Mus musculus: one gene and its partner. The protein of the gene in region 2 purifies or fractionates together with the protein of the main gene of each other region. This does not show direct contact. Links are inferred from orthologs where the notes say so. Each region holds a gene or a part of one and is shown on either strand. Other genes may lie near its edges.

The links.
Region 1: the proteins of Sbf1 (region 2) and Mtmr1 purify together in Homo sapiens (affinity purification with mass spectrometry; 4 studies listed by BioGRID and IntAct, with this or other methods). This does not show direct contact. The link is inferred for Mus musculus from reciprocal best matches to the Homo sapiens genes SBF1 and MTMR1.

The regions. Positions count from the first base shown.
Region 1 is NC_000086.7:71,392,260-71,395,759, reverse strand, and holds part of Mtmr1 (myotubularin-related protein 1), read right to left. Parts: intron 3,245-3,500; coding exon 3,161-3,244; intron 2,465-3,160; coding exon 2,315-2,464; intron 1,484-2,314; coding exon 1,295-1,483; intron 1-1,294. UniProt on the Homo sapiens protein: Lipid phosphatase that specifically dephosphorylates the D-3 position of phosphatidylinositol 3-phosphate, generating phosphatidylinositol. Could also dephosphorylate phosphatidylinositol 3,5-bisphosphate to produce phosphatidylinositol 5-phosphate.
Region 2 is NC_000081.6:89,312,261-89,316,853, forward strand, and holds the start of Sbf1 (myotubularin-related protein 5), read right to left. Parts: upstream 3,052-4,593; 5' UTR 2,857-3,051; coding exon 2,802-2,856; intron 1-2,801. UniProt on the Homo sapiens protein: Acts as an adapter for the phosphatase MTMR2 to regulate MTMR2 catalytic activity and subcellular location. Promotes the exchange of GDP to GTP, converting inactive GDP-bound Rab proteins into their active GTP-bound form.

The DNA of each region.
Region 1 (3,500 bases), on a different chromosome or scaffold from region 2:
AGGAGGAAGAAATATAGAAACACACACAGCTTGAGGAAGCCAAGTGAAATTGAGGTAAATTGCAGGGTGTGGCTACAAGCTCAGGAGTGCTGGCTTGGCCATGAGACTCTAGAGATGATAAAAAGTAGACTCTCTCTTGGAACCTTTAGAAAGAGAACAACTTTATGAGGTTTTTGGATTTGTGATAGTTTAAAGGGCAGCCTCAGGAAACCGCTATCCTCCCTACCCCATTTTTCTCCCATATTAGTAACCAACACCATAACTTAGACTTCAAGTCAGAATCCTGGGTAACATTGCTGACCACAGAAGGGGCTGACTCCGTAGCTTTATGCATGGAGTACTGGGGGTGTAGAGGCCTTCACAGGTACTGTTCTCACTTAGTTCTAATCATCACACAGATGTTGGCACAAAGCACTACTATCATCTCTCATCTTGTGGGTCAGGTTAAATAACTGGTGCAGCAAAACTCAGGGGTATCCAAGTCTAAGCCAAAGGTCTCTCTTAGGTGGATTGGAGTTCACTGAGGTTTTGTGACCCTGGAGACAGCAAAGTAGAGATGTCAAACATAAAATAGGATGGGGATTTGGGCTACCTTCAGGGCTAGAGATACTTCCATGTGTAACTCAGCATAGAAACATTGTTTAAAGTCCTGCCTCTGAGTAGATGACCTTGGGAGATTGTTGTAGAACCAAAAAGGGGACCCCAAACCAAGTTCAAGTAATGCTACCATTGGAAGTTCAGCAAAGAAAGTGGAACCAATGAAAGAGAGCAAGGGCCTGGCTCAATAGTGAGAACAACATGGGGGTTGATGAAAGCCAAGAGGTCATTAATGATGACAGCAAAATTTATATTTCTGCACTTTCATATAACTAAGTGCATTCTAAAAATATATGAAAGTAATACATGAAATATATTTTAAAAGATATGAATTGGTTAAATTATCAGTAAATTTACTAGAGGGACTTCCAAGGGCTTGTGGTTGTTTCACGAAAATAGACATTAATTTATGTAGTTCTCTTTCTAGGAATTTGCTTAATTGAGCCATCAGACTAAACTGTGGAGAAGTAATGAAAAAGGCAAGATTCCAGCAATGTAGGATGGCAAACATTGTCCATAGAATACTAAAGAGGGAGAGATAGCCACACACTACATCAAAGAAACTCAATATTCACATGACAAGGAATTCAATGGCCTGTTCTAAAACTATGAAGACTTATAGAAAGCATGTAAAAACAAACAATGAAGCAAGCAAACAACCAACCCCAAATTTTCTACAAGGCTATTAAACATGTACCTTGTTGGTATCAGCAACGCTGTTTTGTCTGGCATCAAAGATAGTAAGTTTATGTGACTGTGCATTAGCATCCATTATTGTCTGCAGGTATTTCTCATCTTCTTTGCAGCGTTTATCATTGGGACCCACTAATGGCTGGCTGCAACGTGTAATTGTTGCCTGACTTTCTGGGTGAATCCATGACAACACCTAATGTTTTAAAGCAACAAATAATAAATACTTGCTGATAGATATCATTCCTAATATAATATATTATCTAATTAATTGGTTAAAAAGAACAATCTCTCCTAGAGAGTTTCCTCGGTTATGAGTGCATAAGCTAGTCCTGGTACTGTAGTGACTAAGAGAATTAATGTGTTGGTCATGCTGAAAGAATTTGACTAGATACCCTAAAATTCCTTTCTGCCCTTGAAATTCTATCACTCTAAATAAAATAAAACTTAAGTCAAACTATTACTAAAATCTAGTCCCATTTCTATTTGACTGGCTACATTTATATCTTTCTAATATAAAAATTATATCTTTACAATAACATAAAAAGCAGGGTGAGGTCTCTTATTAAAAACAAATCTATAAGTCTATCACCAGATCTCCCATTTTTCTACAGTGGTCCAAGGACACAAAATAATTCAGATGTAAACTCTAAGCAAAAGTTATCCCTTCCTTCTGGGCACAATTATTTTATTCCCATGTAGCTACAAAAATTCACAGAGTGGGAAGAAAGAATGTATCTTCTCCAGAGTGAATGGTGCAACCGATGAGGTGTGGTGCACCAGCACATCCACTCTTGTCATTCCTCTATTCCTCTTGGCTGTACCCTGAGGGCAAACCTTGAGGAACCTTTGCATTTAGAAATAGGACACATACAAGAGACAGATCAAATGAGTGCTTATATAGTGATGTATTTCTTAAGAATCAAAGATATAGTCAGGTTTATAAGCTGATTTTTCTACCTTCCATTTTGTTATCAGATCCAATGTTGTGATTGTTCCTGTCTAAATGACAAAGTTTATTACTCACAGGGACTCTGCCTTTCGCTCGAAAGGCTGCCACTTTTGAAAGGTCATCATCTTTCACACTAGTTGGCACAACAATGATGGCAGGATAGGTATCACAGAACTCATAATTACTGTTTATTTTTGATATTTTCCAACTCTCATTTGGCAAGCCCTGTAGGATGTTAGAGAAGGAAGAAGGGGAAACACTCATCTCTACTTTGACAAAAAAAAACAAAGTATGAATCATGTTTATTAATTTATAACTTGTTTATTGTTATTTAACTAATAGTGCCTCAAATTAAATTAATGGCATTCTGGATTCTTATTCATCAATTCTTTATGAGACCTATGATATAAACATCTGGAAGCAGATAGGGTATGGCTTAGTAAGAGAGTACTTGCCTAGTATGTGCATAATCCTGGGAGTCAGAGTGGAGAAGGAGAGAGGAAAGAAGGTAGGAAAGAAGATGACAGACAGTGGGATAGAAAAGGCATATAAGAAAATAGCAGAAAGGGAGGAAGGAGGAAAATAAATGAGGGAGGAAGGGAGGGAGGAAGGGAGGGAAGAAGGGAGGGAGGAAGGGAGGGAGGAAGGGAGGGAGGGAGGGAGATTTGTTCCTCAGAAATCTGAGTTTCAAATCTTTGTGCACACATCCTACTAATCCCTCTGGAAAATGATGACTAGACAACAATGTAGTCAAAGGCTGGCACAGCAGAAGAGGGCACCCAGGAAATCAGGAACCAACAAGCTTGAAAGCTAGGCCTATGTACAATTTGTTGCACAGCTTCATCTCCACTACTACATATCTAACCTTTTAGTACAGACATTTAAGCTATCATAGTCCATTTGACAAGTGGCATACTCTACCTGTCTCTTATATTCAGACACTGGATCATAAACTTTCCAGCCATTAACTGGAAACTTTTCTTTATAGTTGAATGCAAATAGCACCTGTATACAAAATCCAGAAAATGTATATCAGTATTTATTATCATATAACAGATAGCAAACCTTTGTTTATTCTGTTATCAGTTGAACACGTTAGAACTCCTATTTTAATCTGCACATTGTAAAGTAATAAGTTAGAAACCTTTTCTTTCTTTTTCTTTCTTTCTTTCCTTTCTCTCCTTCTTTCTCTAGCTCTCTTTCTGTCTTTTCTTTTCTACTCTCTCTCTCCTACCCTTTCTCTCTCTCTTTCTCTCTCTCT
Region 2 (4,593 bases):
AATACAAATAGTTTTCTTGGTTGATGGAGATGTAGCTTTTCCTCACAGGAAGTAGTAGAAGGGTACCTGTCAGGTTTAAGTCATGTAAAGGGTCTGATAATTGGTGTTCCCATTTGAGGACTCCCCAAGCTACAAGCAATTAAGTGACCATGTCTGGGATCTGGGCAGGGGTCTCAAACTATGCTGTCTGGTTCCTCATTCTAAAAAAGGTGTCCAGTTCAGTGACAGGACAAAGCACACAGCCCTACTCACCAGGTGCGGGGTCTATGCTGTGCCATCTACACCCTCTACTTTATAGAGTCTTAAGGGAAAGGGTTACACACAGCTCAGGCATTTATTGTCTGTAGCCTTGCCCACAAGTCACCAACTGTAACCATTAGCAACCAGAATGCTACCTCTCTAAAAAGGCATTCATTACCAAGGTTTGACTCCTAGCAGCTGCAGAGAAAAAGTTCTGATTCAGAACAAAACTGAGATATCCTCTCACGCGTATTCCCTTAATCTAAAGGACCCTGCATCCTAGGTCAGTCAGCACACAGAGGGCCCTTCACCTTCTTCAGAAACACCTACCTAGCGTTCTTACATCGGCTACTCAGATCTGAGATGTAAATTATCTCCTTGGGCCAGTCCTGTGCTATATCTTTACGCATAAGTGTTCCTGACAGCCTCAGAGCAGCTCCATGTGGCCCATTCCATATAAAGACGGGGAAACTGAGGCGAGAGTGCACGGTAACTGGCGCAAGCCAACGGTGAAGAGTGACAAAGGAAGGACAACTAATCTTCAGTGTGCTCCTCAGTTTGGGGTCTTTTGTTCTTGGTACTCACATCCCTTGCCTTATAGATCTGCCTTCAGCCCACACCCAGAAACCCGATTCCAGGCTGGTTCCTCAAAGGAATGCCTTGAAGCCGAGTGGTCAGCCAACAACCAGTCAACTCTGACCCTAGAAGGCAGTGCTTAGAGAGCTCACTGGCCTGCAGTCGCCACAGTGATGGGTAATCTGAGAATTACTCCATCACACCGGTGATTCAGGAAAAGTAGCCACCTCTGGCCTCAGCCTTCTATCCCGTCCTGTACAGAGGTCAGAGGTCCACACCTCTTGTACAGCTGTATCAGTAAGCCCCCACGTGCCACAGCAACTTCCCATGGAGCTACCCACACATCACCCTCAATTTTACTCCACTCCCAGCAGACCTCCCCAACCTGGCCTTTACCTACATTCTGTTTCACAGGACCTTCTTCATAACCTTCTCACCACCATCCAAGTCCATTCCATTCCTCCAGCCCTGGCCCAGCGCCCAGCCCGAGACCCCAGCCAGCCCTCAGCCAGCTTGGTTTCCTCACTCTCCAGCAGTACTCCTCCTCCGTTCCAGAGGAGGCACCTCACTGGCCTTCACTTATGCCTTGGAGCACAGGTTCTCCCTGTGTGTGCCAGTACAACACTGGTGGCAAGCCTCCTGCTCAAGGAGGACAGGGGGATGAACACAATGTGGTCTCTGCCTTTGAGAACTCCCTCTTTGGAGGGAAAGACAGATGCTCGGGACTGAGTGCCAAAAGATATAGACTTGAATACATGAGAGCAGAAAGAAGCGAGGGTACTGAACAGATCTGAAGACAGAGGTGGTGGTGGTGGTGGTGGTGGTGGTGGTGGTGTTTTCCAGTGCATACAGGGTCCATCATGTGGACATTAAACAAAGGAACAGTCCTAGTGGAGACTTAGCAAGAAGAAAGGCAAAGAAGAAAGTTTGGGTCCTGAATGGTGACAGTGACAGCTGGTCTGAGAAGCAGCAGAATAACTGTGTGGAATAGATAACTGGAACACGGTAGGAAGCATTACATCTAGGGATTAAGGGGCTACCTCATCTGGCCACAGTTGTCCCTAAGATACCGCCCCTCTGCAGGTGGACTCTGACAGCCAGAGTACAAGTCCCAGCCTCCATTCCAGACCCACACACTCAACTTCTCTATGCCAGATTCTATGCTGAAGATAGGGCAACAGCAAGGCAATCTCAGTGGGCTATTGGGAGAAATGAGATCATACACACAAAGGGTTGTGCAGGGCCTGGCACACTGAGGACTCCAGCCAACACCCCCCAACACTGTTGTCTCCATGGCTGTGGTTGATGTCACTGTCAGGCTCCGTTTTCTCCTACCCCCAGGACTGAAGGGCTCTCAGACACAGGTGCTGACTCCAGATCAGGGCCTCCTAGATCACCACACTGATCCCCCGCTGAGGGGCCTGGCTTAGAGGCTTGAACACCAGGAATGCTCTCCTCCAAGTGTGACACTTTCGTCTGAAGTCCGGCTCCATACCACCGACGAACCCCTCCCCCTCCACTGCACCCCATCAAGCGGTGCTTGAGGCTTCAGACCTAGCACTGGGTCAGAGAAGCTGGAAGACGAAAACGTTCCGCCCCCCTCTCTGAAATTCCCAGACCCAGCCACCGGCAGGCGGCCAAGGCGGGGTGAGCCCATCCCACCCAACTTGGAATCGGGGAGACCGAACTGCAGCAGGGTCCTCCAGCCTCCCACGCCCGAGCGACACGCCCCTGCCCACCTCGGAACAGCGACGCAGGTGCCCAGGTGTAGGAGGGATGTTTCTTACACAGGCCATGTCGTCCGGGGTCCTCGCGGGTTGCCCCGACGCCACCGTGGCCAATAACTACGGAGGCCTCTTTTCGAGAGCCCCGAGAGCTCGGCCCCAACTCCTGACCCTGCCTCCGGCCGGGTCTTCTTAGCTTCGAGTCCTCAGTCCCAGTCCCTCAGTCCCCCCCAGCTCGTCCCCCTCGGCGCTGAGACTCACCGCGCGGGTGCGGCCCGAACGCCACCAGCACGAAGTAGTCCGCGAGCCGCGCCATGGCAAGGGGCGCAGGCGGGCTCCACGGCTCGAGGGTTCGATGGCGGCGCGCTCATGGCCCGGCGCTGGCCCTAAGCTGCACACTTGGGACACCCCGGGCCCGCTCCTCTGCGGCGCCGCTGACCAGGGCTTCCGCCGCCATCTTCCCAGCCAGCCGGCCCGCCCGGGCGCTTCAGGAGCCTGCGCAGTTCTGCCCCTCCCGTGTAGGCGGGACCTGGCACAGTGCGCTTCCATTGGGCCACTCCGCATGGGGCGGGTCCAGAGGGCGCTGCCCCGCCTACTACCTCATGCTCAAGGACCGGCTCAACCCTTTGGGCGGGTGAAGCTTACGGCGGCCGGGGCGGGTCAGCTACCCTGGTCCCGCGGCCGACATTTCGACCTGAAGCACCACCGGTCAGGATTAGGGCATACTTCCCCGTCGGAACTGAAGCCCCGGAATGAAGGGAGACCTGGACCTCACCCTTGGGAGAGCCTAACTCCGAGGGTCAGGGGCGTGGTCCAGCTCAGTCTGCCTGAAGCAAACCAGTGGAGCTCAGGCCTTGTCCAGCCAGTCTCCCAAACTAGAGGACCGAGCTGGGGGATGGAGGAGTGTCATGGCTTCGCCACTCACCCTGCCAATCTTATGGTGGCCAAGGGAAAGACTTTACAGGCTTTTTTTTTTTAAGTTCCTAGTGCAAAAAGGGGCAGCTAGATATTTCACCATTGGATGGATGGGATATCCAACACCTGCATTTAAAAAAAAAAAAAAAAAAGTTCCAGCTTGAGTCACCTTCCTGCGAAGTTGGATCGCCCTGGAGGTCAGGGGGTTGGCCAGGCCTCTTGCAGTAATACAGGAATGGACACTTGTAGGAGAGGCAAGGTCCTTGACCAGGAGATTAAAGGGGGAGGACTAGGCTTGCTTGTTGATGAGTTTAGTTTTCTGTGAGAACTGAAAGACAAGCCACCTATTAGCATCGTGTTCCCTCCACCTGCAAGATCTGGAGAATGAATGAAAGCAATCTCAGGAGAGACGAGTCCAGTCGTCAGTGTACGTGTATAAAGAGTCTCGGCCCTTGAGAAGCTGAAGCAGGTCGTTCATGAATTCCAGTCCAGTCTCCTTGGCTTCATCAGGAAACCATGTGTCCAAAAAACAGGAGATATAAGGGCCTTTCTGGAGAGATAGTTTAGAGGTTATGGGAATCTGTGCTGGATTTGCAGCACCCTCGCCTGCAATTCTGGGTCCAGGGGGATCTGTCGCCCCCTTCTGGCCTCCGGAACGTGTTTGTGGTGGTGCGTGGACATACATGCAGGGAAAACACCCATACACATAAAGTGAAAATGTCTTTTTTAAGAGAGGGGGATGAGCTTGGTGGTCATGGTGGTGGTGGCAGCGCACGCCTTTAATTAAAGCGCTTGGGAGTCAGAAGCAGATGGAGTTTGAAGCCAGCCTGGTCTACGGAGCTAGTTCCAGAACAGCCAGGAAGCCCTGTCTTGAAAAAAATAAGATAAAATAAAAATAAATAAAAGAGGGGAAGAGGAAAAGACTGTCCTAGGAAAGTTCTGTGCACAGAGACACAAACCTAGCTCTCCTTTGCCAATGCCAGGTGAGCTGCAAAATCTTCCTTTCTGCTTAAAACCTGTGTTTGAACTTGATTGAGTTGGCTGCTTCTGTCAATCAACTAAAACTCGTCTCTATACTCGTAAGAAATGGTGGCAGGGGGCTGGAGAGATGGCTCAGAGGTTAAGAGCACTGACTGCT